3 linked regions of the Styela clava genome follow. The protein of the gene in region 1 binds, or shares a complex with, the protein of each later gene. Links are inferred from orthologs where the notes say so. Each region holds a gene or a part of one and is shown in the gene's direction. Other genes may lie near its edges. The genes, in order: cleavage and polyadenylation specificity factor subunit 2-like, cleavage and polyadenylation specificity factor subunit 4-like and cleavage and polyadenylation specificity factor subunit 3-like.

Region 1 (11,284 bases):
TTCTTTGTCTGTTCTCTTGGTATTGGATTCTCAGTGGACAGTCAATTTTAAAATGCTCAAACGAACCACACTGATTACACGTTTTTCTTTGACCATAATATTTAACTGTAAGCATGTACCCATCAACATATAAATAGCTTGGTATTGGATTTTCATTGTGAACATTCATGGTTCCTTGTCCTATTCCATCTTTATCTTTTGATTCAGAAACCTCTGAATCAAATTGAACATGTTTAAGCAAAGCAGTTTTTATCATACTTGTAGTTAGGTGACCTGGCACCCATGATATGTCAACCCTAACCTTTTCAGGCTCATATAAATACCACTTGCATTCAGGTATAGGGTGAGATTCCAAAAACGTTGATAACTTCAGTACCGCTGCTCTTGAAATACACGTTACATCGATAGAGTTATATGGTCTGACTGCAATGGTTTTAACATGATTCTTAGTTAAGCATTGTAAAATAATGTTTTTCGCTGCATTTCTGAAGCCGTCTTCGAATGGTTTTTCTCTTGAAAATTGCATATGCAGACAATGTGGTCGTCGAATTTCCCTTGTTTTAATTTTGTCTCTGAGTGGCGGAATAACGCCAGATTGACTTTTCAAAACGTCGGAGTAAGAAGCCGCCATGTCTCACGCTGCTTGCTGCCTCGGTCCCATATATCTTAACCTCGCTCTATGCGTATGCTATAGAAAATGTAGGTGCTTATTGCGACATCACTGTTTGGTTTTAGCTTATTTTACTTAATATCACGACGTGACCAAACTCAAAAGTCCAGTGAAAGAAGCTCCAAAGTTTCATGAAAAATATATGTATTGACCTGGGGTCGCACTGGACACTTGAAAGTTGTCTTTGGGGTAGCCCTAAAAAAAGCTTGGGGACCCCTGCACTAGAATAAATTTAAAAAAGCCAAACGGAAATTTTGACGCCAGGCGTGTTTGAAAAAAAGCGTTAAAAAAGCCAACATGGCAACTAGGGTTGAACTTGGATTATCCAGATAACCGGTTAACCGTGAGTTATTTTCTTATCAGATATCCGGATATTATTGTGACGGTTAACCGGATAATAGAGCAGTATATATAATGCATATGCGCATTAGTGTTTTTTATATTTTTTTGTTGAGTGGCGACTGATATCTCATATATAAGCATATATTAACAACTTTTATTCATCTCCCTATATGTACATTGCTACTTTTGTTAGTTACATTGTTACATAATTTTGTTTGCTACGTTGCTGTATGTTGTTTATTTTGTAGTAGTGCAGTTACTGGTACAGTTGCATGTGCATTCATCTTATCTCGGACCAGAAGCCTATTGATTTTGGGCGAATTATGTCGTATAATTAGCGAGTTATTAAATAATTAGTGATGGGACACAAGGTGTCACTGTGGAGTAAGAGCGCTGTTTTGGGGGATCCCCTAACTTTCGATCGATAAGTCTTCGGTCTATGACCGATATTCTCGTATTCGAATTTTGGTTGATCTTTTAAAGTGTTCAAAACTTGAGACAGCTGCGCTTGATTTTTTTTTGTTACGTCGCGTAGTTCAAAATAAATATGTAAAATATACTTATATAATGAATACTCGCGACGATTTGTGAAGCAGATCATGACACTCGCTGATAATACCGCCTACGTTGTTTTCAGCTGATAATAATTTTTCTATTGCGCAAAATATTCAATTTGTGGCCGATTCGAGCATTTTAAAATGTCTTTCAATAATAACTGTGTTCTGAAATTTAGGTGCTCCAGAAGTATGTGTACTAAATGGCGCACAACCTGAACATTGTATGTGTATCAGGCTAGGGTTCATATTTTCTTCTCCTCAGGCACTCAGGTCTTTCAACCAGCATTTTAATGATATATAACTACCGTGTTTCCCCGAAAAAAAAACCTAGCTTGAATTTCAAAATAATATAAGCCAGTCCTTAAAATAATACCTTGTCCTAGTCGATAGAGCGAATTTACTTTTTTGACCTAGTCGATAGCAAGGAATCTCTACTACACGTTTTAAATCAAGGTGGTCCAAACCAGACACATTCCTTGCAGCCCACAGAACAGTGTCAGCGTGCAATAAACCATTGGTAGATATTTGCATTTATTGGCAGAACATTTTCTAATAATTTTTAATTTCGGAATTTCAAAGTTGTATCTATAGACGTCAAGACGGTGCCAATATGAGAATGACGTCCTGTGATAGGTAGAAGGAAAATGAATTGTGTTGTGCAGACAGAACCAAGCCGATGAGATGAGTCGCGCTTTTTATCGAAACTTCGTGCCTTACGCTCGCGTCAAGTAACTCCTCATTCGGAGACCCGTTTTGTTTCTTTTTTTAGTTTAAAACACTCCATTATTTTCAAGCGTTGGCCATGTGGCAGCAATGTATTTACTTACTCACAACAACATTAAACCACAGTGTCTGGTGTGTTTTCAAATAATATCTGTCACGAAAGACTGTTATTTTAAGCAACATTACAAAACCAAACACGGGAAAAGCAATTTTAAAATACCTAAAGGCTTTATACAGTAGATATCATAGCAAGAAATTTTACCTACTCGTTTTAAAGGATTGAAAATCTATGTTTTAGTGGGTATTTTAATTAAATAAAAACGTGTTATTTATAAGTAAATGAATATCGGTTTTCATATTTTGTATATTTGGAAATCTAAAAATTCTCTAATTGAAAATAAAAGACATCCCCCCAAAATAAGCCCTAGAGTTATTTTTTGAGAGAAAATTGAAATAAGACATTGTATTATTTTCAGGGAAACACGGTATGTTTAGTAGTTCTTTCAAATAAAAACGGGTTACAGTATTTATAGGTAAATGGATACCGGTTTTCATATTTTGTATATTGTCCATATATGTAAATCTCGTAATTCTCTACTTTGTAATTTTGTTTTTGATAAATGAAAATAAAAGATATCCCCCAAAAATAGGCCCTAGTGCTATTAAAGACACTGCCTATTTTAATTATCTATTGAAACTTGGGGGGAGCCGGATTTCATGCCAGGACAGCAGGGTGCTTGTCCCATTGTTTGTATAATAGTAAACATTAGTCCAGGCCTATTTTACGTTGCCCAAAAAACAACTACCACAGTAGTTCGAGACAGGACGACTTCCAACAACTGGCTTTTAGCGGCCATGGCGAGTTACTCATCACGTTACCTGAAAGAAACTGAAGCCGTCTTTCGAAACAGTCAACGAAATACAATCTATCTGTATCTCATCAGTGCAGTGGTTCCCAGCCTTTTTTCGTATCGCGGCACACTATTGAGCTCTTTAAATATTCGCGGCACACCTATCACAAAACATGAACATTTTCTACTCATAAAGCCTTTCTGCTATAAACTAATTTAAAGAAAAGAAGATCAGATAAGGGGAATTTTATTCATATGAAGACAACATACCCCGCATTTAGTAACAGGTATATAATATTAATAGTGAATTTCAGCCATACTGAGCTTGATTCTACAAATCACCTGAAAAGGCAGGGTTCAGACGGATGGCGGATACCTGGTTAGGCGATAATTTCATCTGTATTTAAACACATGTCGTTTCCGTCCTAAAAAAATATCATCATCAGGTATTCACACTTTTGCACAACCTAATTTTTTTCAAATTTAATATCTTCCTCCCGTTGCCAAAATTTGTCGGATAGAATATTTTTATCGAATCAAATAATTTTAACGAATCGTCAAATATCGGGAATTATTAATTTGTATACCACAGGCATCCAGAACGCTAGACATTCTATTGTTGGTGAATTCGGGATTTTATTCCGATTTTCATATTTTGCGCCGGCTTTGATCTTTCTCGCCACCGTTTGTAAATTAAGTGTCCAAATTTTAGGGTGAAATTATAATATTTCTGACACCGGAATCAGGATATTCATGGATACGATAGTTGACCTCCTTATGATTTTCTTTCTCCATTGTGCCTGTTTTATTTTCGTATTAAATAGCCAATGAAGAGTGCGTCTGTAAGTTAATGTGCCAATTTTCAACAGTATACAGTATTATATGGATGTTTCCCCAAGCATCGACTTCCTTGTTTACTTCGTGACATCGGCCAATCAACGAGATGCAAAAAGTGACGTAACAATGCATCCGCTGGGTCATTTTTCTCACTCATGGATTTTTTTTTTCAGTGCATAAAACTCGTGAGAACGGACGTGAGTTTGCTTTTGTCCGGAACGTTCGTGAAAGTGGTACCGGGATAGGCAAGTTCACGAAATATGATATAGGGCATATGCCCAGTTATACCAGCAGTTTTCTTTCGTTGTCGTGTATTAATTGAGTAATAATGAATTGATTACTCTGGTGATACAGGTTTCATTGTTCCATGAGCAATAATAATTTTGTTCGGTTTTATATCATATTATTACGACAATTGTATAATATGACTATATATATATCGATATCATTAGATCCCCCCCCCCCTGATTATGTTTTACCAACTTTCATGACCTTTACCTTCATGACCTTTCATGAACCGATACAACTGCACAGGGGTACCGAGTCCAGGGCTGCCACTCTAGATGTTTTATATCTAGATCAACGGCTAACATGATCTAGATCTAGATGTTTTTTTCAAGATCTAGATGTAAAATTTGGAGCCTAGATGTTAGCTATAAAATCTAGATTTTTTTTCGAAGTTTTGAATATTATTCAATGAGAAATAAATAAAGAGATGTGTATAATACTGTAGCCCAAGCCTCATTTAATTGGGCTTGTGTTTTTGTGTGCGTGCTGGTGGGCAGGCACATGAGATACTTCATGTTTTAAACGTTTTTGTAGGTTTTGCTTGCCCTCCAGAATTCTCCATTTTAAATTTAGGTTTGTTATGGAGTTTTCGAAATAAACTATCTATCTATCTAATAGGTGAATGAATATTACCGTATTTCATTATTTAGAGGTACCGGTATTGATGTAAGATTGATAAAAGTCATTCATATTGTATTCGTCCCCCGGTATGGTACCATACAGCCATATGTACTTAAAATATTTGAATAACGAATTAAACATGATTAAAACATGTGACGTTTTAATTAACGTTAAATAGAAAAGAGACGTTTTCCGGATGATATTGTTGCCAAGGGGTTTTAAAATTATTAAGTTTATAAGTGCTATTGAATGTGTCTCTCTTTAAACATCAATCTTTCAAAATGCCAAAGTTTATACACTACCAGCAAAAATTTAGAAAATTTTGACTTAAGGCTGTACAGCTGTACGGTAAGGGATGGTTTGCCCCAGATGATAAGAACAAGGTCTTTTGTAAGTTCTGCAGATGGGAATTGAATTCTAGATTATGATGTTAGCTTCTTCGACATCTAATATTACTGTTTTATGGTTACTTTTCATTAAATTAAATGACTTCATAAATAGATGTTTTATTTTTTAATCTGGATGTTTCTAGATCAATCTACAGATCTAGGTGTTTTTAGTCAGGCAAAAGTGGCTGATCCTGAATACTAGAATACCGTTACTTATAGAATAAAACAATGTTAGAATGTGAATTTCCCCAATTCAATATTACATATTTCTTTGAAAATTTAGTTTTGTGTATATATTTATTTATTCTAAGATATAAAAATGCTTCCCCTGTTGATAAAAGGCAACTTTATGCCTGGAATATCTCACACAATTCAAATTATTACCAAGCAAATGCGACCTTTACCAGCTGCAGTAGCATTGAAAGCTCAACTACCTGATGTTGCCCAGAAAGCAGTTACTAAACTACCTTCTGCTGTACCAATGGCAACTGTTTCTATTTTCGGGGCTCCTTCAGTAAGATATGCGCACACTGATGCTGCAGTTCCTGATTTCAGTGCCTATCGACAGAAACTTAAAGATGATGTAAGCGATTTTAGAAAGACAGAAGATGAACGGAAGCTCAGAACCAAGACATATCATTATGCCATTTCAGCTGGAGTGTGCATGGGAGGAGTTTATTTGGCCAAATCTGCGGTAACTATGTTCCTTAAAACAATGAGTGCTTCAGCAGATGTTCTTGCTCTTGCATCAATAGAAATCCCATTGTCCGAAGTTCCTGAAGGAAAAAGCATTACTTTCAAGTGGCGAGGAAAACCTCTTTTTGTTCGCCATCGGTCTCCTGATGAAATTGAGAGAGAAAAAGGAGTTAATGTTGCAGAGTTGAGAGATCCACAGCACGATGCTGAGCGTACTCAGAAGGAAAACTTTTTAGTTGTTATAGGAGTTTGTACCCATTTAGGATGTGTCCCAATTGCCAATGCTGGTGACTTTGGTGGTTACTATTGTCCATGCCATGGTTCTCATTATGATGCGTCTGGTAGAATTCGAAAAGGGCCAGCACCATTGAATCTTGAAGTTCCAGAATATTCCTTCATTTCCGATGATATTATAAAAGTTGGTTAATGACTTATGCCTGACCATTTTTATACATCACATGTTATTGCGAAGTCATTTAGTATAAAAATATAGGGAAATATTGTCAAAATAAACCAGGATTTTGAATTTTGTTATATTTTTGGACTGTTGTAAGTTGTAACTTTATGTTTCCAAGTATTAGAAACACCTCTAATTTAAATAAAGCTGTTTCATGGAATATTGGTTGTTGATTCTTTTCATATTTCAAATTAGTTTCAATTTTGAATATTTATAATTTCTATATTCACTCCTGAATAATATTGTTTTAAAACAACATTTAATCGGAAATTACTGTCTGGAATAATGAGATTAATATTGGAGCAATCTGTTGACTAAATATGAGGTTAAATTATTTTGCATATGATGTATGTATGGATTATATATGTTCCACTCAATGATGTTATTAACAAATGTCTTGTTTAAAATTGGACTTGAATATTAGAAACTCTTGACTTTTCATTAGTGCTTAATTAATATATTGTTTGTTTTTTGAACGTAGATGAATTAAACTTTTTCAACCGGCATGGTATTTATGAAATCTGTTAAAATATGACATCTATAATCAAGTTCACAGCACTTTCTGGTGCTCAAAATGAAGAACCAAACTGCTATCTTCTGCAGGTGATTTGTTGTTATTGTCTTTTCATTTGTTCTCTGTGTCTTTTAGGAGCAGTTTTTTTATAATTAGATTGAAAGTTCATGTTCAACGATGTGACCACTGAAACGTAATTAGATTATTTTGCCTTCACAGAGAATGCGTCTAGAACGGGCTTCTCAAACGGTGGGATAATTTTTTGGGGCTTGAAGCTAGGTGAAGGATATTTACATTCTATCCACATAATTTCAACGTGTTTTTTGAATAAAACATACTTTTGCCTACGATCTGTTATTTGTAGCCTATTATTATTAGCTAGTTATTTTTGAGATGGGACATGAGACTCCACACATTTAACTTAAAAAGTTTAGGAACCACTGGATTCTAGAAGAAGCAATGACTTTTTCTCTCGAAAGCAGTCTTGTAAAAATACAAATCTGTAATAAATGTTTCTGAAGCATGTTATCTCCATATCAACAGGTTGATGAATTTACGTTTTTGCTGGACTGTGGTTGGGACGAGTGGTTTTCTGATGGCATTATAAAAAAGATAAAAAGGTAGCTTTGCATTTTTCCTCCAAATTGTATGGAAGTTTTACAGCACTGTGCGCTATCATGGGAAATAGTTATTCAAATGAATCTACTCTATTCGCTTAATGCATTGCATTAGCATTTTTGTTGACCCTTTGAGGAGGTTTGTCATGCTGACTACTTTTACCCTGCGAATATACCATTTGTCTTATTCGAACAGCTATTAAAAAGTACCCTTCAATAAAAGCAATGTTTCCCAATACTAGGAAGCCTGTAGTTCTCAAACTTCATGACCCTTCAGGCCTTCACCAATAACTCTCACTCTCAGCACTTTATAAGAATACATAGGTTTGCTTTTACTGTGTTTTTTCATCACAAATATTTTTCACTATGTTCAATGATGAAAACAACAACCAGGATAATAAGTGCATTGTAGTCAAAGAATTAACAAAATCACAGTCATTTACTTCAAATTAATGTAGTCATGACAAATGATACTTAGTAAAGGCCTTTGCTCATTGCCCCCACATGACCTCTCTGTGGCCCTCTTGGGTGACCGAGGGCCCAATTTAAGAATCTGGGCCAAGCACAAGATGAGATTTCAATGATTGAAGCACAGAAAGCTTGTTGATTTTTCATTGTTTTGAAAATAGCAAGGATGAGAAACATTCATTTTAGTGGAAGAAAACGAGTGTTGTCTTTTGTGGAATAGCCACATATACGACTATTGTGCGACTGTTTTGGGAGCTAGCAGGGCTAGCAACTGATAACAAGTACATCCATATCTAGGGTTCAGCTAGATCCAATGCTAACTTTATTACCATGATCATCTCTTCTCCAGACAGAATTTATTAGAAAGGTTTCGATTTGAATCTCATATTAGCCCTTTTTCTATTGGCACCACTGCTGTGTGAATCGATTTATGAAAGTTTGGGGCATATGGTGGTAATGGGATTAACACAATATCTTTAACCGCTGATGGCACAATAATTCATTGGCAACACATTGTCACCCTTTTTTTGGGATGCTGAGGTATTCAATATTAATAATCATTTCATTATTTGTAGGTATTTGAGCCAAATTGATGCTATCTTACTTTCATTTCCTGATCCTCAACATCTCGGCTGTTTGCCTTATCTTGTTGGAAAAGTTGGATTGACTTGTCCGATATATGCAACTGTTCCCATCTATAAAATGGGGCAAATGTTCATGTATGACTTATATCAGGTATTCTGCAACAGAGGATTTGCATTTTTCTGCCTCATTCCTTCATCATTGCTTTGTAAGAGTTGTAAATTTAATTTAATGGCTGAAGTCAGTCGGGGAACAAATATAGCTAAAGTTATATTTATCCTGTTCAGGTAATCGGTGCACAACTGCACATCGTTTAAGAATTCATAGATTATCCCACAAAAATGCCATTTTCATGGGAGTCAACAATGCCATTGTTAGCATTATTCCTGATGCTCTGCATCACTATACTAGGTACAACATTATTGAGTTTTCTTCAGAACCAAATGGAGAGAAATAAGGCCATTGTTTGGTATATATTTCACTTATGTTATTTGTGATAGCCTCATTGATAGGGTGAAATAATTTATCACTCCTCAATTTTATCATGCAAGTTTGCAACTGGAGAATCAGATTTGATAATGATTGGGATTTGCTGGATATTTGTTATTATTGTAAATTTAACAATGGTTTTTCCAGTCTCATCACAACACCGAAGAATTTGATAAATTTACACTGGATGATGTTGATATGGCATTTGATAGAATCACTCAACTCAAACATAACCAAACTTTAACTTTGAAAGGTGAGGTGTAAATAAATTTTGCAGTAAAAAGGCCTTGATATTCTTTTCATACCACAACATTCCCAGATATATTTGTCTTTATCGGTGATAAACAATGGTTCATGACCCCACAATGTACATGTACCGTATATCGAATTGCCTGAGTAAATGAGAATGTTCTTTTTTTCCTCCACACAATGATTTGGTCTCTGTCTGAATGGTTGTTAGTCCATAGATGTAAAACAGTAGAAACTTTTTGAAACTAAAAACGTGACCGACTACTACTGGTAATTGTTTTTGTTTACTTGGTTGCTTGTTGTATGTAGGACTTTCTGTCACTGTCATTTGAATAAATGATGTAATCACATTAGGTAATTTTGAAATGATACATTTTTTGATTATTTTCTTAAAATACATAGACTACAGTCTACAATACAAAAAGTATGCTTCCATAAACAAGTGGCAAAACTAGAATTGAGACGTGAACACCAAATTCGTAAATCAGTGCAATTACGTAACATATGTGTTTATTAATCACCGTTTTAAAATTGATTATTGATATAGTGTCCACATAATGGTAGAATTTTCAAATGAACAAAATTTCGAGTAGTGAGGGCCTTCAGTGACAGTTGGAGACACCTCAAATATAATTATGGAGAACATGAAAAAAACCAAAACTTGAAACTGTTCATGCAGAACTTTTATTTCTATGTACGGTTTAGATAAAGGTCACGGCTTATCAATAACCCCCATACATGCTGCTCATATTATTGGAGGGACGTCATGGAAGATAGTCAAAGCTGATGAAGAAGGAGAAATCGTTTATGCAGTTGATTTCAATCACAAAAGAGAAAGACATTTGAATGGTAAATTACGACTTAGTCGGTCGCAGCTCGTATGTAATCTTTATAAACTTACACTATGAATGAATTGCATGCCGATTTAAGTATATCAGGTTGTAGACTGTGTTGTTTGTTTTTGAGAAAATAAGAGTATCCAATAAATTTTAAGTAATTTAAGTAATTACGGTAGATCCTTGCTAGTAATTACAATTTTGTTGTAATCTTGTACGCTTCTGTAAGGTTGTACTCTTCTGGAATCAGTTGGAAGTGGTGGCAATGGAGGTAGAGGCGGAATAGCTGGTTCAGTGTGCCCTCCTCAACTTCTTATTACTGATGCCTACAACGCTTCATATCAACAAGCAAGAAGAAAGTTGAGAGATGAGGAACTTTTAAGTATGTACTTCAGTCATTTTCGACAAATTATCGATGTCTTTCAGTGTTATATCGGATTCATGTAAAAATTGGTACATTTCTTTATATGATATTCTCAGATTTTCCTTTCTTTCGCTGATGGTCTTCAAATTGCTCTGGAATGAACAATGACTTGGTTCTGAATGCTTTATGTTCTTGTTTATTTTTCAGCTAAAATTATAGAGACCATGAGATCAGATGGGAATGTGTTGATTGCAGTTGACACTGCAGGACGAGTTCTTGAACTTGCAATATTATTGGTATGATAGACAATTTCAATTACTGCCCAGCATACATATATTAAAACTGAGTATAACCTTTACAGCAGCAGAAAGTTTACCTTGTCCACTAGATGTCACTGTTAATCAAGGTTCTGGATAGTCTATATTTACTTAGATTCCTCAATATGATTCATTGAGGAAAAAATTTATTTGAAGCTTACTTTTTCTTCTGTACAAAGGCAATGTATTACTGTCTTTTGTTTGGAAAAAATGCAACCAATCTGGATAGCTGTATTGACTACCATATGCTGCTTGCAACATGCATGACATTTACATCTTTAAATCCTTATGAAAATTAAATTATTTTTTCATAATTCAGGATCAGTTATGGCGAGACACAAGATCAGGCCTACATGCTTATTCCCTTGCTATGTTAAACAATGTAACATACAATGTTGTGGAATTCGCAAAGTCTAT
Region 2 (11,415 bases), on another chromosome or scaffold:
TCTTAGGTGGTTACGATACATTATTGACTTGATCAATTCTGTTTGAAAGTATGCTTTATGTGACAATGAACCAGTTATATTTCCACACATAAAACCCGTTCTTGAAGTTTGAAATGTTTTAAAAACTACCAAAATTTATTATATTATATTCTTGTTTTGCAAGCCTTTCAAGCTATTTTGTAAAAGAATTTGATCGCCTATGGCATATATTCTAAATCTAAGTACATACATGACTGTATATTCACCAGCTTGACAACTTTGAGTGATCATTTCATACGATGAAGGTTCTAAGAAAGTTTCTTTTTATCTATTGATCATAGTTCCACTGAACCACATACGAACTGTATATGGAGGTGCCATAATGACGACAGCAATACCGACAGCGTAGTCTAGATATGTCACTTAATAATTATGAGGGTAGAGCAGCTTCTCAGTTGTCAACGAATCGTTTATCCCCCACTCCATCAAGGAGAAAGCTCGATAATTTCGAATTTTTTCCCTCCTTAATATGGAAGCAGGTATAATTCTTAGTCTACAATTCTAGATGAGCCATCACCAATGTCCTAACTTTTATGACAAGCAATGAATACACCTATAGTCGATTTATGCGAATGTCATTCATCAAGTTAGTTCAAAACAAATGAATTCCAAACTGTAAGTCAGAGCAATATCTATATATTACAATCAGTAATATCGATCTTCCATGTATTCGGATCCGATGGTTATTCAAATTTTCAAGCATTTGAACTGACTGATGAAATGAAAAGCATATTGTGAAGCACAAGTATATATAACATCAGCAATTTCCTGATTATTGAAAAGAATGTCGAAACTAAAAGGTGGTAGGTACATGCATTGCTTTCAAACCTCGAATGAATATTTAAAATCGGTGTAATTCAGTTAAAATGCTGTATTGTTTTATTTATGTCATTTCTAAAGCTAACGTAACAATGTTATTGTGGATAACAAGTAACAGAAATGTTACCTAATAAACCCTAATAAATGTTCCACTTATTTAAAGTGGTTGCCGTTTGGTCAGAAAATATTCAAGTTGTTCAAGTCAAGCTGTATTAATTTTATCTAATTCTCCATCTCGTGCTATGAAAGAAAGCAAAAATATGCATTTCAAAAGATATATATTAATCGTGAAATCTTGTGATTACATACATTAAGTGCTTCAAAATGTATTCTGAAATATACGATATATATATATATTATATATCATAACGAAGATTTGGTGAAAGCACTTCATTCACCCAAGCGGTATTCCGAGTTCGGGTCCGCATTCACAATATGGAATCTGAAAGTGAGAAATGAGAAAAAATTCTTAGGCTGTAGATCTAAATTGAATCGAACTTGGATAAATATTTAAATTGGTTTTGGATTAACACGCTGCACATCATTTTGGGATGACTTCTTGTCGACTTTTCTGTTTTATTAGAATTTAACGGTGTATATCGAGTTCGTAACTATATTACAAAATGATAATTTTTGCTTTAATACAGGCGTTAAAGATAAATGACTTGAGATGTTGCCAAGATACTAGACGCGAAAGAACATCATAAAAAGTAAATAAAACTACTTACCGTGTAGACAAACAGGGAATACGGAACTTGTACACATTTGTATGTACTTTGGCAAGTGTTTGTGTTGGTGCATCCGTTAGGGTAATTTCCGGATCTTTGATTTAAAATATAAGAGGTTAAGATTTAGATCTACTCTATAATGTTGATTCATATTAGCTTTATATTCAGCTGGATTTTCACAACTGTTATAACATTAATGAAATATGTATAATTATAAGTATGTTTCAACGTGGGCGGCTTATTTTAATTTAATATAATTATGCATAGTTCATTCTCATAATAAGGTTTTTTCATGCGATTGCGTTGATGTCGCCACAACTTTGTGGGAATTTATGTAGTCACAATATTTTGTGTATCAGTATGAAAAATAAGCAAAGGTATATTTTGTCAACTATATAGCCATATAGTTGATATGCATTCATACTGACCTGCAATTGTACCCATAGACAATGTAGGGGCATGGCTGATCGGGTATCGGGATAGGAACGTAACATTTTTCATATGTACAGGAGGATGGAGGAGAGAGACTAACATGCAACATGTCACAGCGAACCTCTCTGTCAAATAGCCTGAAAAATATAATAAATATTCACTAATATAAAAATATATCGAGAATAAAATCAAGCTATGAAAGTGCTGTCATCAAAACCAATTCTTGATTCTGTAGTTTATTACACATATATGCTAAAATGTACTCACGAGTATTGATCATAATCGCATATTGGTGGATATGGATCTGGCGATGGACATGGCTGAAATGAAGGTTAAAACGGTAAAAGCATGAAAAGAACACAACGACTTTTTGAAGTTTTAGATAGAGACAGACAGATAGATCGATGCTCAAATTCATGTTTTTCATATAATTAATATTACTTCATATTATTAATTTGATAATTTGTGTGGGATTCCTCGAGGTTGTGGTAAAGAAACTCAAACAAACATTTGACAACGATCCAGCAAATAAGTAAGTACTTGTCACAATAGGTTTAATTTTCTCTGATTTTAAATAAATTAATAATTTGTTTAGATGATAAAATGTAAGCTTACCAAGTGCTGTTGGGCAACATCGGGGATTTGTGCGAACGTTTTGCAGATTAAAGCCGCAATGATAAGGCAGAGTGCGTATGATGTTTCCATTTTTGCTGCCAATCAATGACGTCGATCATAGGCCGTAGTTGTAGATGTAGAACGTCAACTTGTGTCAGTGTAGAAGAGACTTGACAACTGAACAAGTCTCGTGGTATTTATAGGTTTTTGAATAGGAGAGTTTTACTCTCGAAACTGTGATACCATCGTCTATTGGTCGAAATTTCTAAACATATTTTCATTACTGTAATTTAAAAGATAACCATTTTACAAATTACCACATTAAATTGAGTCCGTACAAATCATTTTTAAACATAACCAAGCATGATAAATTTACCATGGATATGAACCTCCAACTGTGGTCCTGTAGCAGATGCAAAAATGGCTTTCTATGATACTAAGAATTAAACGAAAAAAATAATACGTGCCATGTTTTGGAAGAGTTCCTGATCCTAATCTTGGAAAAGTTCCCCATCATAATTTAACTCGAATTACGTAAAGATCAACGTACAACGTTTGAAAATTACTTGAAATATATACTTGTTATTCCAAAAACATCATACAGATATCTATTATTTTTGATTTATCGTTTATTTATACCGTTTTCTCTCATTGGTGAACTGGGATCGTAAATAAGTTTCGACAACTCAGCTGTTTATACAAAAAAGTAAAATATAAATATACAGTATTAAATAAAAACATTTATGTTCTATAATCAACAACTTTTAGCAAAAAAATTTTCCAAAAGTTTTAAAATTGATATTACTTTAATTTTTGAGCTCTTTTGAAAATTGAAATTCTGCAAAAAAGTATTACGTAGCCTTATCATGATTACTAAGGAGGATCAAAGTTAACAGCCAGTAGAATATTCAACCTCATCTGCAAAATCATAAAAGAAGATAATCAATCCTTCAATGTCGAGATTTCGATTTTTATTTTAAAAAGACATGGCGATTGGAACATAGCTCAAGTACAAATGTGGCCAATATTTTTAGAAAATAAGCCATAGTTGAAACGATTCGTATGAATGTATAAAAATTCCATGGAATCAAAGCATATCAAAAAAAAATATAGATGTCATTAGATATGAAAATAAATAAATACAGTTTGAATTTGCCCGCTCAGAAACAATATGGATAAAAAATGACTATACTTAATATAATATTGAATATATAATAATATTTATTATTATTATTATAAAATAAACAAGATTAAGCTCGTGGAAACTACCTAGGTTTGATAGATGATGATAAAGTTAACCCAATCACACTATAGAGGGATCAATAATAAATACCGTTAATTTTAAAAACATGTTCGCAATACAAAAATTTCGTCCTTTTTCGTCACGACAGGTTTGTGCGACATTTCGCGATGGCTCCGACAATAGACAGAAATATCAGAAAATTTCCTGCCCGAGGCATCATTGGCTAAACTCCATTTGTCATTTTTTCAATTCTTGAATTTTCTTTAAATAATATAGATGTATTCGATGTTGAATGTTAATTAACTGAATGATTATAATTAGATTTGACTATTAAAAATACCTCGAACCATACAACAAGGAAAGAATGTTTGCAAAAAAACATGTGATATAGGGTTTTGTTTTTTATCAATTCTAAAAAGAAACATCGTGTTTTAAAACAAGGGCTTGTTTTAAATCAAATTTTTTCTGTATTTTTTATTGAAATACCCCTTGCATCGCCCCGAAACTACGCCAAAACGTTGCGTTCGGGCAGCTGTACACGCGGCCGGAATTATAATTTTAAAAATGTAAGTAAAAATTCCTATTTTGACTTTTACTTCTATTGCGTACATTTATCGCGACTTTCGTATCTCCAAAAAAGTCATAAGATTTTAACCGGAATGTTTATCCGAGATATCAAAGAGACGTTTTGAGTAAGAAAAATCATGAAAATTAGCTCACAAGCCTACTACAAAATCAATTAGAGGAATCGCAGCCTTCGGCAAAACGAGTGGGTTGCGATAATGAATAATATGATTACATCGACGGCGGATGAGACACGCTAGTCTGGCCTATGTTAATCGTAAGAGTCCTCTGATGCAAGGCGACTCAAGTAATCTGTTATGATGTGGATTTCGAGTTCATGTATTGACATTTTTTCTCATAAAATGAAGGCATTATTATATTTAACACTGTCCGGTTAATTTATGCTTAGCAAGCTTTGTTTTTAAGGTTGAAGTGATAGAGTTTTTCAAGATTATACAAACTCATTTATTCGATCGCATTTCAATTTTCGCAAGGTGGTTTTGTCGCAGGGTCGTTTACGACTACGTAACGGTGTTACGTTATCGGTTGCGTCTTACTGCGCCAACCACTGAGTTACAACATGAGAAGGTGTGCATGATCCTCTATCGTTATTTGTGGCGTTTTGAAGAATTTTTTGCAAATAAGAGGCGCTTGGCAAGTTTTTACATTCATTTTTCTTCAACCTATTTAATACGAAAAAATAAAATAGTACAGCCATTTTAAACAAAGCAGGCAAAAAAAACTCGATTTAAAACAATTGTTTTAAAACAATTCTTTTGGAACAAATCCTTAGATATAACCAAATAGTAAAATCAGCAGAATTAAAATATAAGAATATAATTGTTCAGAAATCAAGCTGATGATTATAAATATATGTCTCATTTTATTTGGACAATCCCAACCCATCATCACAGTTTTGTGCCAATCGTATGAAAACTAAAATGTACCGAATATTTCGTTAATTATTAACAGGAGGCGTCAAATTATTGTATTAAAATAAATTGTACTTGACTCGGACCAGTGTTAGTAAATTTTCGGCCTGAGGCTATATTGAAAGGAAGTTGATTTTTTTGGTTGTATAACTTGTATAAGTAAAATAATACGAAATTGTATTTTTTTCAATTCAAGTCAAATCGGCATCGTTGAAAGTAAACATAACCTGCGTCGTACTTCAAGCCATAAAGAAATCTCAAAAATTGCCAAAGCTACTATATATATATATATATATATATATATATACAATAGAGGTTACCAAAATGCCTGATCACGATGGATTAATATACCTTGAGATATTTGTTATATATATATATATATATATATATATAGCTTTATAAATAAAATTTTCACGCCTCCAGAAGTATGCGCTTCAAGATGGCGCACAATTGAACATAGTGTGTGTGTACCGGTTAGAAGTCAGGTTGTGCGACATCTTGGTGCGCATACTTCTGGAGCACCAAATTTTCTTTGTTTTGTCATTTCTATGTTTTCTTTTTTGTAATAATATCATGGCTCGGAAATGAAGTCGTTTGGGAAAAATATTTCCTCATATTTTATTTCTGATGTATATATATATACAAAATTCATTGACAAGATACAGCATTGAAAATTATTTTGCCAACGATTATTACTCGATGTCAACTAAATCGATATATCTGACATGGGAAATTCAATAAATATTTAAGTGAATATAAAATGTTTCATCAATACTCTATTCATTTTCCTATCAAGCTAAATCAATAAAACAATCGATATTTTCTTATTTGATGAAGAATCGCCACTTAATCTCCTAGTATCATTATTAAAAAAGTAGCGAGGTTCATCCTATTTTAGTATTTTCAATCAAGGCAGGATCGGAAGGAAACATGATATGAATATATTTAGTGTTGCAATGTTGCATACTTGCTAAGATGATATTTATTTGAAATAAGCAGCTTCAGTTAATAACGTGTAGTGTAAGTAACGTTATTGTTTTTTGCTTATTACGTGGATGGTCGACGCATCAATTGGAGTGTCCAAAACGCTGTAATAGTGTTGACCAGCAGTTTGGAGAATGGTAAAAAGACAAAGGAGAATTTATAAATAAAGTATGTCTTAGAAATTAGCAGATCGTCTAAACTAAACTCTTAAGTAAACGTTAGACAAATAATATATTGGAAGATATACAAGTATATATATATATATACCAAGCTATACCAAAGAGTTTAAATCTTGTCATTGTTTTATCAGTTGCTCCATCTGAATAACTGTTCAAATTGGCAGCAATTTAAATTTAGTTTAGAATTCGCTTTCAAACATGCAGCGGGCTCGTTCAACATGGCGAACTGATTTCTATCTAGAGTCTTTCCACTGGGATAATTTATATTACGGCTGTTCCCGTACGCCTTCGAACCAGAATCACACTGACTACATACAAAAATCTTTGGACAACAGAGGTTCGTATATATTGATTTTTAAAACTCAAAAAACAACACTGATTAAAATTCACCTATGTGTTGGAGATTTTACCAACTATTTTGTCTAACCAGCCAACATTCAGGGTGGTGAACCTAGTGTATAGTTTGTTGTCAAAAATTCATTGCCCTAACTAAGCAGATACCCAAGTCTTACACTAGCAATCAAACGTAGCGTTATGTGCGCTTGTAATCAAAGATTTTGTACCCTGATATAACACGATACACACATTTTTGTATCACCCGAAATTCATACTCATTAAAATATACGAACAACATTTGCGACGACCCTTTAACAATTAGATAAATAAAATAATACGGATACATCATCTTACCCAAAAATGTAGTTTAGTTCATAGGTTCTCAAAGTGCTCCATAGAGATCCCCAGGGCTCCAAGAGAGAAACCTTATAATACGAATACATCATCCTACCCAAAAATGCAGTTTAGTTATTAGGTTTACAAAGTGCTCCATAGAGATTCCCAGGGCTCCGAGAGAGAAACCTTCTTGAACTATCTCTTTACTTATTGAAATACGGACTTGGCTGGTTTTGTTACTGTCAAAGCAATTACGCCATTAATTAATAAAATTTGACAACGGCACGAATGGTACTGGTAAACGTAAATGGGGTAGCATTTTCACCCGAGTATTTTATATTGACTCCGTGCACGTACATTCGCAGCGCGTGTTTTTAGGTCACTGCGGTGGTGTAATAGCTACGGTATTCTTGCAGATAGATTGCACTTTTCCCCCATTCGAGTTTATAAAGTTCATGGTTACGCGGTGACAGATCGGTCCAGTAGGTAAAGAATATCAACATGAGTTTAATGCCACGGACAACGGGAATTGGTAGCAAAATATCGCGTTGTTATAAAAATTTTGGAAAATGTTTGTTTTCTTCAGAAAGTCAAGAAAACCATCCCAACACACCAAAAGGACGTCTGGACGACGTACAGAAAGGTGTGAAACACGAAAAGACCCAAGAAAATCTAAATAATTCTCAAATCCCCAAGGGTAGGCAAGACTAACAGAATAGTTTTACTGTTTTTATTATGCCTATGCATTCCTCATTTAACCTTCTTGTTTCAGTGTTTATTGAAACACCATCCAGCCATCTTGCAGTCTTGTTCCGTATCCTAGCCATGTCGCTTGATAGTTTGTTTTTAACAATGACTGAACGATGCATGACCTAAAACATTAAATTACTTAGGTGTAATCACTGTAATGTACTAGCCTATCATGGTATCAGGATGCTTACAAGTTTATACCTTAATTTTGTACCGCTGTATCTCGTCTTGCTTTTCAGTCCTATAGACTGCTATATCTCAACTCACAAGGTGAGATTGCCTGTGCCATAGGCCTATGTTTAAACCTCATTTCAGCATTTTGGGTTTTTGCTGTTAGTCTGTCGCTACAAAGCTCCCAACACTGTAGCATAATGGCATTCTAGAATCCAAATTCATGTCATTTGCAGTTAATCTATTCTATAAACAAAGCTTAGTCAACTATGTCTATTTAGTTGTAAACATCCTATGCATTTTCTCAATTTGAGATTTTTCCACAGATAATATAAATCCATACACTGGGGAAATTGGTGGACCGGCAGGGCCCGAGCCAACAAGATATGGTGATTGGGAGAGGAGAGGAAGAGTGACAGACTTTTAGACTCTTTCATTTTCTACCTTGTTCAATTGTTTTGTGTTAAATATCATTTTTAATTATGATAAAATTTACAAAATAGACATGTAATATTAAACTTTTAATGCACTGTGGAATCTTGACTAAATATATAGTTTGTTATGTATTATATACTATAAATCTAAATACCTTTTAATGATCAATTTTGATATTCAAAATTGGTCTACTATAATGATTATTTACAAATCTAAAGTGAATAAATGTTGCTCTACTCCATGGCAACTTTGCAAACAGTAATTACAATAAAGATTATTTGAAATTCGTATATTTTTGGTCACTATGGACTAATAGTGCTCGACTTGAGTCTGTTGGCATTGCTAGTTAATCTCTGGCCCATTTTCCATACCCACCACCTCACCAACTGTGTAAGAAAGTGGGTAAGCAATGCTGAAAGAAAAAGATTCTATATGAACATAGTAGCTTACATATTAGTTGGACATCTTTGGAGTGAAAATTGTTGTTTCTGTGTTGGGCATAATTTAAAATTAACTGACCAATAACGCTTGGAAATTAATATACCTTGTCATTTCACTGATGTGACTGTATTGATTTCTTCGAGACTTGCTGGTAAGGCTGACCAGGAGGTTTCATATTCCTATTTTGCTTAATAATTGTATTATTTTTGGGTGCATCCTAATAGCAAAGAATTTGAATTATTTTTGTTTATTTAAACCAGGTCTATAGCTTTGCTAAAATCAACCATTATCAAAATTTTCAAATATATATTGTGTATGTTTGTAAAATATTTACAGACCCTTGGATAATTTGTATTTGATGTATGTGCAGGCTAGTTTAGATGGTCATATTGATAACATGTTTTATTTTTACATAAACTGTTACTCTGAAAGCTCTTGATCAGTAATATTATGCAGGCAATAGTTGCTGATGTTAATAATGTTGTATTTGATATGGAAGTTGCAATGGAACAACAACTGGGAGTTCAGCCCCTGCCTTTTCCTGGAATGGATAAGTCTGGGGCATCTGTGTGTCATTTTTTCAAGCAAAATGTCTGTGCGAGAGGTGTAAACTGCCCATTTCGTCATGTTTTGGGTGACAAAGCAGTTGTTTGCAAACATTGGCTTCGTGGGTTATGCAAAAAGGGAGATCAATGTGAGTTTTTACATGAGTATGATATGAGCAAAATGCCTGAGTGCTATTTCTACTCAAAATTTGGCCGATGTGACAACAAGGATTGTCAATATCAGCATATTGACCCTGCTAGTAAAATAAAGGATTGCCCTTGGTATGATAGGGGCTTTTGTAAACATGGCCCTCACTGCAGCAAGAGGCATAAAAGAAGGGTTATGTGTATAAACTATCTTATTGGATTCTGCCCTGATGGGAAAAAATGTAAATATACCCATCCAACATGGGATCTTCCCACTGTGGAACCGAAAGGTGCAAAATGTCACATATGTGGAGAATTTGGGCATAAAGTGGCAACTTGTCCACAAAATCCATATCGAACCTCTGAAGCTGATACTAACAAAAGCATGCCTAATGGAATCCATGCCACCACACCACAGTTTGGTGGGCTTGTGCTTCACATAACTCGACCAAACATGACTCCATCCATACCCATGCCATCATCGAATCTTGGTGCAGGAATACTAGGTGCGATGCCGAACACATCTCTAACTGGCTTGTCACCAACGTCTGTTCCTCGTATGAGACCCATGAGGGATTTATCAAGAGTCACTTGTTTCAAGTGCGGGAAGAAAGGACATTACGCTAATCGTTGTAATGAAATTGCTTCATTTCCAATGCCATTCTTGTCTAAACCAGCAACTTGAAGGAGTTTTTGATTGTAGAATTCTTTGAACTTGTGCTGTGGTTTCAAGTCCAAATGATTGCTTGAAAGAGTGAAGCAGATATAATTTCAGCGCCATGAGACTATATTCAAAACAACATTCACATGCCTTGGTGTATGTATTCCCATGAAAAAGCAAGATTTCTTTGGGTAGCACACACAGCTTACATTAAACCAGTCTATTTCATAAGGAACACAATTTCATGCTTGTTTGGCTTGGTTGTCATATGGAAAACATTGGTAATAAATACACATCACTGAATTGAGTTAATCCACAAAACTTATCTTGCACTGTGCAATTGCCGGAGTTATCCTAACATCTCCGTATATAATTTGAACTGCCTTCAGTATTGCTGTGCTTATACTTATTTTATAGTGATCGGACGGTCCATTGGCACAAAATTAACTTATTGATTACTTCCATAAATTGTTCTTGAAAAATGATTTTCTCTACTGCGAACATCGCTTTCTATCATTCATAAGTTGTTCAATGTTTAATAACCTCTTTTCAGTGGCTTCGTAGCTTTCAAGTATCATTTCTTTCGGTAAATGCTCGTGACTTCACCAAATGTTAGGAAAATCTGGAAAAGTGTGGGGCTTATTCAAGTTCAAACTCCTCTCTAACAAATCCCTGGTAATGATTGTTTACATCTATGAATTTCTGTTGTATTAAACGAATATGTATTTCTCTATCTTGTTTGAACAATCTTTAAATACAATATACAAAAATGCGAGTAAAGAGTAATTGTCAACTGGACTTGGTCGTTAGAAAAATTAGTCAAGAGTACAGGTAGTTCAGATTTCCTATTTTTTTCCTTACATGCTAATGTAATTTTACTAGAATCGACGGATACACATAACAAACCAGAAACATTGACATGTCCTCGAATAAATGTTTAAAAGCGTTGGCAATGGCTCTGCCCGCTATTTTAAACAATAGAAATGACCCCAAATTCGTGTTTTGGCATGGTACAACCTGAATAGCTGAGGCCATGAACAATTAAACAGTTTTGTGTG
Region 3 (11,043 bases), about 20 Mb from region 1:
CTTATACACGTAAAAACAAATTTTCCGAATTTTCGTATTCAATTCTATATTCTCTTATCATTATTATAAATATATTACTTCTTGTTGAACTTGTAGCATGGAGAATTTATAGAACATTTTCATATTGAATATTGCTCAAGAAAATCAGTAGTGAGTTTGAAACCCAGGGAACACATTTGTGCGCGTAGGATTATGCCTGACAACGTTGGTCCCAAGCAGAAGCAAATTTTCTAAAAATAAAAACGCGTGACAACGATGGGCCACGAGGCGGACCATCGTTGTCAACCTTTTTATTTTCTTTTTATTCAATTTTTTTTTTTTAATTTTTTTTTTTTTTAATTTTTTTTTCGTTTTCATTTATTTATTTTTTTTTAATTTTAATTTTTTTTTTTTATTTTTTTTTTAATTATTTTTATGTTTTTTCACAAAAATTTTTTTATTATCGGTTTTTTATTTTATTTTTTATTTTTATTTTCAATTTTACGCGTGACAACGATGGGCCACCATAGACGTGATCGCATTCATTACGTGGGGTATGAGTGCGCGGCAGCATTATTGCCACATTCGATAGAGTAGAGTAGACGATAATTAATTTGACAAACCTGGAAGTATGTTTAATACTATTTGTAAAACAGCTGTCCCATGACGATGCAGATGATTTATTCCGTTATTTCTGTGAAGTGTCCGGGCATGTTTATTAGTATTACAGCATGTCATCGGGTTAAGAATAGATTCTGGGAATTGAATAATTAATAATTTTTTTTTTTTTGACAGCATACTTGACTCGATTCAACATAAAAATAGGATAATTCATCGGTTCACAAATTTTGATGAATTTAGCTCTTGAAATACTCACTGCAAATTAATATCAATGTGTCACGGTGGAGACAGGTGAATTTATTTTGTTTCATATGCTCTCGAAAAACACTTCAAATCAACAAGTGCAGTGGAACAGAAAGTATGGAAAATAAAGCCCGTGGTTAGATTCGATAAGCGTGCGAGCAATGTTCAAATATGTGGAAACGAAATGCGGCGATTCGTACTGCTATTGTAAGATAATAGCTGTCTCTGAGCAGCGGAGTCTGTAGTGAAAATTGGCGGACAAGCTTGACGGAATAAAGTGTTCCATATTCCATAACAGTATTCTCATGTAATAAAATGAAACAGCAAAATTTAGTTGAAATATCAGGTCCCATGGGAAACAATAGAAGTAATAGCCTTCTGATGATTACGTTACAGTTCTATTTAAGCACTGACAATTGTAATCGATTGGTGGTCCATTAGTTGTAACCGACCAACGTATACGTGAGCCACACTACGACGGCGAGTAGTCCAGCAATCCTCTCTCACATAATTATCCGCCACGGCTACGGGATTCCAATCTGCGAGCCAACACAGGGTAATCAGAGGTGCAGACGCTTGCCACGATGAGCCTAAGATCTGTGCCCGGTTCGTGCCACCTGCAATGCTATCGATACTTATCCATCCACTTGAACTACGTAAAAGTAAGATTTTGTATTGCGTAAGTTCTCGTTCGATACAAATTAGTTTAAAGCCAACAATTCTGCCAGGAACATGAATTGTGCGGCTTTGCTTACATTGAATCCAGCAATGACTGCAACTTACATTGCCGATCCACAAGTGCAAAGAGGGAGTGCGTGCATTTATCATACGCGGCTCGGTGGTTTGCTCACCATGCGTTGGATCATGCTTGACATCGCCCCACCGATTACCCTGCGCGAGTCCGCGACATCGGGAAATCACTCTATGAAGAAAGCCGGACGGTAGTCGATGTTCAGTTTAGATTCCTCCACCAACAGGGCTTATTATTAGGCTTTTCTCGGTACGAATACAAAAAGGCCCTACCTGGACGTCATCCAGCGATCTCCCACTTTTCTCAACCTTATATTGGACGTACATATCGTTGCTCGTTTTTTAATACAACTGTCGTGAAATTTATTGTACTTTCTCAATTTTTTTACAAAGCTATTTGTAATATCACAAATCAGGTTACAAATCTACACTGTAGCCTAGGATCATATAATTGACCTAATTATGATGTCATAAAATGCAATAATGTTACATTGCAGATTTAAACTTCATTACATCGGTTGTGATATCAAATTATGAATTTCTTCGAATTTATTTTGACAGTGAGTGTAGTCACAGAATACCCCATCTCTAGATATCGGCCAATATTTTCTAAGCTCTTGTGTCGCTACAGAGGACACAGCCAAGCCTTAATTATATGATAATTTGTGGTGCTCCAGAAGTATGCGTACCAAGATGTCGCACAACCTGAATTCTAACCGGTACACAACACTATGTTCAGGTTGTGCGCCATCTTCTTCCTAATTTGTTTTATTTGGCTCAGTATATTCTATATATTTAAATAAAACTATACTTAAATTAGTAATTATAGTGTGGTATCACACCTCAAAATTAAGAGGGGTGTCCACCCCCAATAGCGGGTGTAGGGAAATCACCCATTTGGCTTATTTTTTATAATAGTATGCGACTTGAACAAAAGAAGGTATGCGATTTGATGTTTGAAATTTTTTATTCAAAATGCATAATATTAACAAAGTAATAATAATATAGGAACCAAAAAAAACAAAGAGTAATTTCAATATCAGAGCTTGTATCACGATTTCACACCCATATATGTTTCATTCTTTTTCTTATTCGTTACTAGTTGAAATAAAGTCTCGTCATCAATATTATTATTGTCCAATTCACAGTGTTGTAGAGGTAGAATGTCCCATTCGAATACTGATGACATTTCTTTAAGAAATAGTGGCATGACTTCTTCAACTGTGACGTCTCTACCGGTTTGCAAGCTTAGAGATGTCACGCCTTTGTCTAAGATGCCACAAGGAACTATCCGTGAAAACCATAACATATCTGTGTTGCAATTTAATGCCAGTCCATGTGAATATGTTTTTTTCTGAGCATTAATACCTGATGAAAATAAAGTAATTTAATAAGTATAACTTATCTCAAGCAAGCTCACAGTGAAATAAATAAAACACATCTGCGAGCAAAGTGAGTGAACACATACAACTTCTTTTTGGCAATACCTTCCATCTTATATTCTGTACGCATTAAACCTTATCTAAGATGAGTCGACGGAGTCGAAAAAAACTTATCTAAGTTACCTTATCCTACCTACCCCCTTGGATAATTTAACAATAATGCTTGATATTTGAATATCGCAATTCATTTTATTAATATGGATACCAAGATATTTATACGATTCCACATTTCTAAGAATAGCCCCCCCCCCCCCTCCCCCAATTTAGATTTTTTTCGACAACAAAAATAAAATAAACTTTGATAAATAAAAGTCTTAAAATTAAACTGCCCATCAACTTATCAAATCTCACCCTTGAACTCACCCATTGCACATATTTTATCGTTCCCAACCCAAACTCCTGTGTGAGGAGATCGAATTCCTTCTATATTGTACCTGGAAATACATTTCAGATTTGCTATTGAAAGAGGAAAATTCAATTCAAATAGAGAACTTGCGCACCCACTTTATGCTTTATAAAGCATTGGGCGCTCCAAAAGCATGTGTACGGTTATGGATAATTTTGTTCACCTACTTTACTTCAAGTTCAATAAAATTATGGCCTAACCATAACCTGGTACACATACTCCGGGAGTACCAAACAGTGACATATAAACCATAATACTTATTATAAACATGAACAAGTTTGCATTGATAATTTTCTGCAAAATGCCCCATGAACTTAACAAATAATGACTATCAATTCATAATATACCACAATATTGCATCTTCTTGCACAATCATCCAAAAAATAGTTACTCAATATTTATGGTAGATGTTTTGGTAAAAGTTGGATTAAATGGTTTTTTGGAAACTTTCTAGTCAATATGTGTATGAAATGACAAGCTATGATTAGCCGACCTCAGTTCCAAAAATAATAATTTCAATGTGTGGTGGCTAATATGCAATTATACACAAATTACCACTTGGAAACTCAAAACCAGATAACAAAACATATTGAAATATAATGAATGACCTTACTTTTTACAAAGGTTAATGATAACTTCTTCCAGCAACCAAACATACTTTCTTACACCGATTTCTATCTGAAGTTGACTGAACACAGGATAAACAACTAACTGACCTGGCCCATGAAATGTTATCAGACCTAGGAATGAAAGTAAATCACAATTTATGTACGAAGGGCTTGGATAAACATTTGCAACTCTTTGATATTGTAAAGCATAATCTTTTGATACCCTTGGATATCGGAATCTTCCAATGATTATTGAATTCACTTTACTATGAAAAAGTGATGACGTGATGCATTGAAATTGATAAATTTTTACAGACATATACTACCGTATATCAAATATAAAGTAATGATAGAACCTGTGTGAGATATTACTCTGCCATAAATTTGGAGCCTGGTAATGTTCCGTTGTAATTTCTGGATAGTTAATCAAAAATAGTTAACAGAGGGCATCATTAGAAATGAGTTAAAATCATCTTGCCATTTTAAATATATTATATTCGTGGGTGGCAGACATTGGAACGTAGTATGTGTACCAGACTACCAGGTTAGGGTTAGGCCATAATTTTATTCCAATTTTCCTTATTTTAGTTCTATTACGAGTTCAGGGACTAGCCAAGTGACTCCCGTAGTATTTGCACCTGAAATCATAGCCAAATCGGGTACACATACTACATTCCGGTGTCCGCCATCTTGATTCACATACTTCGGAAGTACCTATTCGAATATGCATAATATAGCATAATTTAGTGTATTCAGTAACAAAATATTTAATCTTTGAAAACTTTGATAGTATTGTAGTTGGTGAAGTGACCACTGGTACTCCTTCCCTACTTAATGTCTTTTTTAACTGAAGCAATTAATTTTTATCTGAAATTTACCTCCTCTGTCAGTTTTCACAAAATCTGCTCCAAGACTTTCCAGTAATTTTTGCTCTTCATCTGTGTATTGCTTGTCTCTGTAACCTGTGTAATATTGTTAGCATTGAACAGTTGAATAATCCATGTGCATTTCCACATTAGGTGTAATTATTCTTTTTCAAGTTGAACTCAGACATAAGTATTTCTGAAGTTAACAAAACCTACCTATCGTATACACAGGGTTGTGTTGTAATAATAGTAAAGTAGGACTTGCAACTTCTGGTTGAACTTTGTTCCAATTGACAAGATTGTGTTGAAGTTTTAAAGCCTGCAATAAATGAGACATTACATCAGTACATTGATTTCAATTGCATAATACCAAAATATCACACTTCCTCAAAAATTGAGGGTAAAATCTCCATGAATCGATGAAAAGGGGTTGATCAAAATATTATAAATGGAGAAATGCATGATCTCATTTTGCAGCTTTGCCACCAGATACATTTAACATCTGAGGGCTGGGTGGTGTCTATGACTGCGTTAGGGCAAATTATCCGTGTCTCATATAACTATGAAACTGCTAGAATGTATAATATTTAATTTTTTTTATTTGTGTTTGAATATTTTCGTTGGAGATACCTACAAAATTAAAATGTCTATAGAATGTTTGAATGTCAAAGATACCGTACTGCCGTAAGTAAGATTATAATAAAGGCATGCTAACCTTTTTATATCTCACAGTTCCAAGATAAAAAGCACGCGCGAGTGGTCGAATCTTTTCCATTTTCTATAATTTACGTTTTTCGAGCTCGCCGGTTTGTTTCAAAAGATTGAATTAACGAATACATGAAACTGTGTGCGACAAATGCAGCTCAGTTACCTCCAAAAGTCACGTGATTTTGTTGGTGTATGAATGCATTGATGCGTATATTTATGTGGAAGTTGGAGTTGAAAGAAAGAAGTTTCATTTTTTCGCAAAGGCAATCATGAATATCGTACGTAAGCATGAATTTGATTTGAATCGATATTGCATAAAACTGATTTGTATTTGCAATTGAACAAATTAATTATATATCTCGCGTTTTTCCCGTCAAAATAAATTCTCAATTCTGTGAAAAACTTTCATTCAATTGAAATCTCCGGTCACTACTCAGTTCATGCTCCACATTTCCCAAAGAACCGGTACTGGTACGGTAACTGATTCTCTCGGAACCGTGTCTTATTCGTCTCCTCGTTCGAAGGGAAATAAACGGATAAAATGGCGAATAGTGGACAGAAGACCGAAGAAACTGATTTATTAAAAATCACTCCGCTGTGAGTAATATACGACTCCATTTCTTCTATGTCTGACAATGCATCTATGGAACCAATTTGAGATTTTTGTACTGGTTTTGCAATCTTCAGATGTTACACTTCAGCAATATGCTGTATTGTAAATGATAATTTTTTGTTCAACATGATTCAATTTACAGATTTAGCGTTTTTTTTTTATAATTTCAGTGGGTCTGGTCAAGAAGTTGGGAGATCATGTCATTTGATGGAATATAAAGGAAAAAAGATTATGGTAGACTTTTATTAAGGATTTTATTTTTTGGTTGTTGAGCACTATTTAAAGTTTTCGTTCCATTTTTTTTTTTCAGCCAACAATTTATAATACGATGGACATGATAGTAGGGCCTAGTTCCCAAATTCCAAGAATGTTTCGTCATTTGGTTCAATAAAACGAACACTCCATATGTCTCACAAATGAGGGTTGTCTGGCACGACGGCAGATGCGTCATATCGCGCCATGCTTGTCTCGATAATAATCTAAATTAATCGAGGGCCATCAAGTTACCAAAGTTGCCGTTTTTTGCTAAAAACTCTCGAATGCCATGGTAAAAATCGGATTATTTTTTCCCGATGAATTCAATGATTACGTTTATTAGATTGCGCTTCTCTTTAGTTTATCACGCAACTTCTTTTTACTGCATTTTTACCGACATTGAGGGACAACAATGTCCAAACGTCCCCAAAGGGAGGGGTGTCTGTTCGTCGCAAAATGGGATTCTCTGAAACGAGACAATGTCGCTCCATCTTCAAAGTGTGCTGTATTGCATGATGGTTTAGTGAGCAGAACTTTAGATCAACAATGTTGTTTGGTTTCCATACCCATTCTCCTCCACCTTTTCTAAGGTATAGAATCCCATAATGGAGGATGATTGGGAGGGACTCCTGGGATTCCAAGAATAGTGACATCTTTGTGTATCAATGTCTGCATGCTTGGAGCCTTAGCTGTTTTGGTAGAAACTTGTGGAAACATCAGAAAATAGAATTCAATCTAGTTCAATTCTTTAGTAGAATCTAGTTCGAGTGGGAGTGGTGACTCCTCTACGGCCCATGGGTCGGGGCCGAGGCCCAATTCAATGCTATTCCCAATTCATCAGGCTATGGGCCGCGACCCATCGAGTTATGTAAAGGGACTATTCACTTGGCTAACACAGACAGTCTCCGAACTCATAATAGAACTATAATGTGAAAAATCTGAACAAAATTTTGTCCTAACCCTAGCCTGGTACACATACTACAGGAGTATCCTTTTCTGTAGTTTGGTATTATGCTTTATTTTTATATAAAGGCTTATCGTAAGAAAAAAATTTGGTGGCATCCCACGATTTTTTTTTGTTTTGAATATTTACAATTTTGTAAAAAATTGAAAATTTTGGTAAGATAATTGAATTTTTCCTGATGGGGCCACGGCCCATAGCTTGATGGGCCACAGCTCATGTGGCCCAATTAGATGGGCCGTGGCTCCGGCCCATGGATCATAGAGGAGTCACCACCCCTGTAGTCTAGTTCAATCTGGTTCAATCTAGTTCAATTTTTTGGTAGAAACGTGTGGAAACATCAGAAAATATAATTCAATCTAGTTCCATTTTCATGCTCACCGCCTATTATTCATGAGTGTAATAAATTGAGTATGCAATGGAACTGGGCCGAAAAGATTTTGGCCCATTCCAATAATAGTAGCCCATTCCGTAACAGCTTGTCTAGTGTCTGTTCTAATCTTCATTACTAATACTTTTCATTTTATGCAGCTGGACTGTGGAATTCATCCAGGGATTAGTGGATTAGCAGGCCTTCCGTATCTTGATTTCTCTGATCCTGATAAAGTTGATTTATTGCTTGTTACACAGTAAGTAATTTTATTCTGAGTTGAATTTAAACCTAAGTCCTAAGAGAGAATTTAATGTCTTACCTTAGTATGTGGTTTATTAAATCGGCAATAATTTCAAGTATATAAAGTCAAGTGGTTTCATCTTTCATTTAATTTGAAAAAGAGATAAGGCGTTTCAATATGGGATATACCAAGAATTAAATTCAATATTTTTATTGTTTTAATTTGTCTCTTTTTTTTTGTGTGTCCTGGGGTAATATTACCTAGGTCATGGCCCCGTATGGGAGGCTTTAGCACTCATGGCCCCCCTTGTTCACCATATCAAAAAACTATTATGTTTCATTATGTAGATCTATCAAACAAAGGGTAAAAAGACAAATGTGTTTAATAATAATGTACAACCTATTACAAAAGTATTCAGGTAATGAAACTATGAAGAGCAAGGTATTTTCTTTTGAAGTGAAAAGTATGCAAACGAAATGTGATTGAAATCAATTTGTCATAATAGTATTGTGGCCTCCTATGACTACTCTGGGGCCCTCAGTTAGAAACCACTATTCTAGTCTAATATTATTGACAGAATCTTAACCTTTTTTTCCGTTTTATCCAGTTTTCATCTTGACCATTGTGGAGGTCTACCATGGTTTCTACAGAAAACTCCTTTCAAAGGACGAGTGTTCATGACTCATGCTACAAAAGCTATCTATAGATGGTTGCTTTCTGATTATATCAAAGTCAGGTAGGTTTGATCTTTTTATATTTATACTTCAAGGCAATAATATTTTGGATAACTTAATTCTATTTTTCTGGTAAAACTATATCGGAAGAATGTGAGAATACTACATTTGCCAATTCTTGTTGTTTCTTTCGGTTTTGGTAATTACTGGAAATTTAAAAAAATTGAGAGAAAGCTGGATCATTTCTATCTCTGTGGCATGGAGGCAACCGTCATTCAACTCACTTTCAACTTTGTTGAAAGTTGTCCAAAAGTTTTGAAATGTTTTAAAATTGCAAGCGGAATTTATCGATACCATATATTGTTTCGGCCCTCACAGATGTATTCAATGAAGTAAAAATAACTAAACAATTTCTGATTAAAAACAAACATACCTGGTTAAGATATATTGGGAACTGACTTCGTAACAAAATGGATATTGTAAAGAGATCTTATGGACACCCTGTTCTTTTTTGGACAACTCATATTTAAAAACTAACTCATTATAAGATTAATGTGATCATGTATTTCCTTCAGTAACATATCGACAGAGAATCAACTCTACACAGAAAGTGATTTGGAAGAATCAATGTCAAGAATTGAAACCATTAATTTTCATGAAGAGAAAGTTGTTGAAGGAATTAAATTCTGGTGTTATCATGCAGGTAGAATTGGATGTGAACTTGGAATGGTAGATGGAAGCCAAGTTTTTTTTACGCCCAATACTTTTTCTAGTATATTATGTTACTGACACAATAATGATAAGTAATGTTTTGTGTTCTGTCAGAATAATGGTTTATGTAAATGAATGAAAAAAAAAAAACTTTTAGGCTTTTAGCTGTCTGTAATCAAGATAAATTACCACTTCATCATATTGAGATGGTCTCGGAAGTTTTTCTGTTCAATAATTTATTACTATCTAAAAAAGTGTTGGGGACTTTGACCCATCTCTGTTTTTTATCCAAGATAGCCCGACAAACTTTCTCATCACTTTCACGTCTCTGCCGAATGCATGAAAGGGTATCTGCTTGAAATTGGATGTAAAACCAGTAATGGCATGCAGTTCAATTGTGGTTACTGCTCAGTTTTCATAAATGTGATCTTTATCATTTTGTAATATTAGAAAATGCAATTTAAAAATGAAATTATCACAGATGACTGCATAGCCATCTTCAACTTTATTTCTCCATGACTCATTTATGTTGTAGAATTTTATTCAAAACATGAGTGATTGACTACCTAACTCCTAAGTGAGATTAACCATTTCTTCAGACTGAAATTAACTTACATAATTCATATATTTCTCAGGTCATGTTCTTGGTGCTGCAATGTTTATGATTGAAATAGCTGGCGTGAAAGTTCTTTATACCGGTGATTTTTCGAGAGAAGAAGATAGACACTTGATGGCAGCAGAGATACCCGCTGTAAAACCAGACGTTTTAATTATGGTCAGTTCTGAATTATTTTTTACATATTTCGTTATTGTCTGCAAAATTTGCTATCGATTGGACTTAAAAATGAAAGATTTACTCTGGTTTTCGCCCAAAGGCGAAGAACTACTACTATTACAATGGCTGATTAAAAACCAGTTTTCGAAATTCGGACAAACGAGTAGCCTATATTTGAAACAATGCGATGATAATAAAATCAAATTTAAAAATAGTGAGGACTTAACACAAATGGTCACCTCTTTAAGGCCATGCTTCCACATTTCTTGCCACTTATTTATTTGCAAATTAGTAAACTGTAGTTCTGTTTGAGTATCTTTTATGAAGATGTACTAAACTTACATCAGGAATCAACATATGGAACACATATACACGAACCACGAGAGGAAAGAGAAAGTCGGTTTACAGGGACAATCCATGATATTGTTAACAGAGGGGGTAGATGTCTCATACCTGTGTTTGCTTTGGGTAGAGCTCAAGAATTACTGCTTATTTTAGGTAAGTGGATGTCTTGCATATGCTGTGCTCCACCTTAGTGTCTAGATCAGGGGTCGGCAACCTACGGCCCGCGGAGCACTATAATCCGGCCCGCGACGGTTCACTAAATTATAGTAACAAAACATTAGTTTTGACGAATATATTCTTTAGACTAAATTACATTATAACCTAACAAATATACAATTCACAATTACTCATTTAATAAGCATATAATTTAATTATAATTAAGCAAATGGCAACAAAACACAGAAAAGTTAAGGCTAAGTGCAAAGGGTTCAATGGCGCTGAAAATATTAAAATGGAATTTCATAAGATGCAA

What was found.
Region 2: cleavage and polyadenylation specificity factor subunit 2-like (region 1) and cleavage and polyadenylation specificity factor subunit 4-like share a complex: the UniProt entries of both Drosophila melanogaster proteins name them as parts of the cleavage and polyadenylation specificity factor (CPSF) complex. The link is inferred for Styela clava from reciprocal best matches to the Drosophila melanogaster genes Cpsf100 and Clp.
Region 3: cleavage and polyadenylation specificity factor subunit 2-like (region 1) and cleavage and polyadenylation specificity factor subunit 3-like share a complex: the UniProt entries of both Drosophila melanogaster proteins name them as parts of the cleavage and polyadenylation specificity factor (CPSF) complex. The link is inferred for Styela clava from reciprocal best matches to the Drosophila melanogaster genes Cpsf100 and Cpsf73.

Annotation. Positions count from the first base shown.
Region 1 is NC_135251.1:30,700,307-30,711,590, forward strand, and holds the start of cleavage and polyadenylation specificity factor subunit 2-like, read left to right. Parts: upstream 1-6,910; 5' UTR 6,911-6,962; coding exon 6,963-7,034; intron 7,035-7,488; coding exon 7,489-7,565; intron 7,566-8,605; coding exon 8,606-8,765; intron 8,766-9,248; coding exon 9,249-9,354; intron 9,355-10,055; coding exon 10,056-10,199; intron 10,200-10,415; coding exon 10,416-10,568; intron 10,569-10,757; coding exon 10,758-10,846; intron 10,847-11,186; coding exon 11,187-11,284. Other genes in the region: cytochrome b-c1 complex subunit Rieske, mitochondrial-like, read left to right, coding at 5,598-6,401. UniProt on the Drosophila melanogaster protein: Component of the cleavage and polyadenylation specificity factor (CPSF) complex that plays a key role in pre-mRNA 3'-end formation, recognizing the AAUAAA signal sequence and interacting with poly(A) polymerase and other factors to bring about cleavage and poly(A) addition.
Region 2 is NC_135257.1:6,092,196-6,103,610, forward strand, and holds cleavage and polyadenylation specificity factor subunit 4-like, read left to right. Parts: upstream 1-6,315; 5' UTR 6,316-6,493; intron 6,494-6,666; exon of another isoform or gene 6,667-6,776; 5' UTR 6,777-6,872; intron 6,873-7,471; exon of another isoform or gene 7,472-7,793; 5' UTR 7,794-7,904; intron 7,905-8,454; 5' UTR 8,455-9,454; coding exon 9,455-10,381; 3' UTR 10,382-11,159; downstream 11,160-11,415. Other genes in the region: uncharacterized protein LOC120346153, read right to left, coding at 1,253-1,300, 1,587-1,680, 2,015-2,155, 2,286-2,338, 2,634-2,723. UniProt on the Drosophila melanogaster protein: Component of the cleavage and polyadenylation specificity factor (CPSF) complex that plays a key role in pre-mRNA 3'-end formation, recognizing the AAUAAA signal sequence and interacting with poly(A) polymerase and other factors to bring about cleavage and poly(A) addition.
Region 3 is NC_135251.1:10,435,341-10,446,383, forward strand, and holds the start of cleavage and polyadenylation specificity factor subunit 3-like, read left to right. Parts: upstream 1-6,078; 5' UTR 6,079-6,164; coding exon 6,165-6,220; intron 6,221-6,406; coding exon 6,407-6,470; intron 6,471-7,983; coding exon 7,984-8,081; intron 8,082-8,673; coding exon 8,674-8,802; intron 8,803-9,315; coding exon 9,316-9,443; intron 9,444-10,086; coding exon 10,087-10,226; intron 10,227-10,573; coding exon 10,574-10,724; intron 10,725-11,043. Other genes in the region: octanoyl-[acyl-carrier-protein]:protein N-octanoyltransferase LIPT2, mitochondrial-like, read right to left, coding at 2,645-2,961, 3,399-3,469, 4,055-4,181, 4,928-5,011, 5,132-5,234, 5,631-5,690. UniProt on the Drosophila melanogaster protein: Component of the cleavage and polyadenylation specificity factor (CPSF) complex that plays a key role in pre-mRNA 3'-end formation, recognizing the AAUAAA signal sequence and interacting with poly(A) polymerase and other factors to bring about cleavage and poly(A) addition.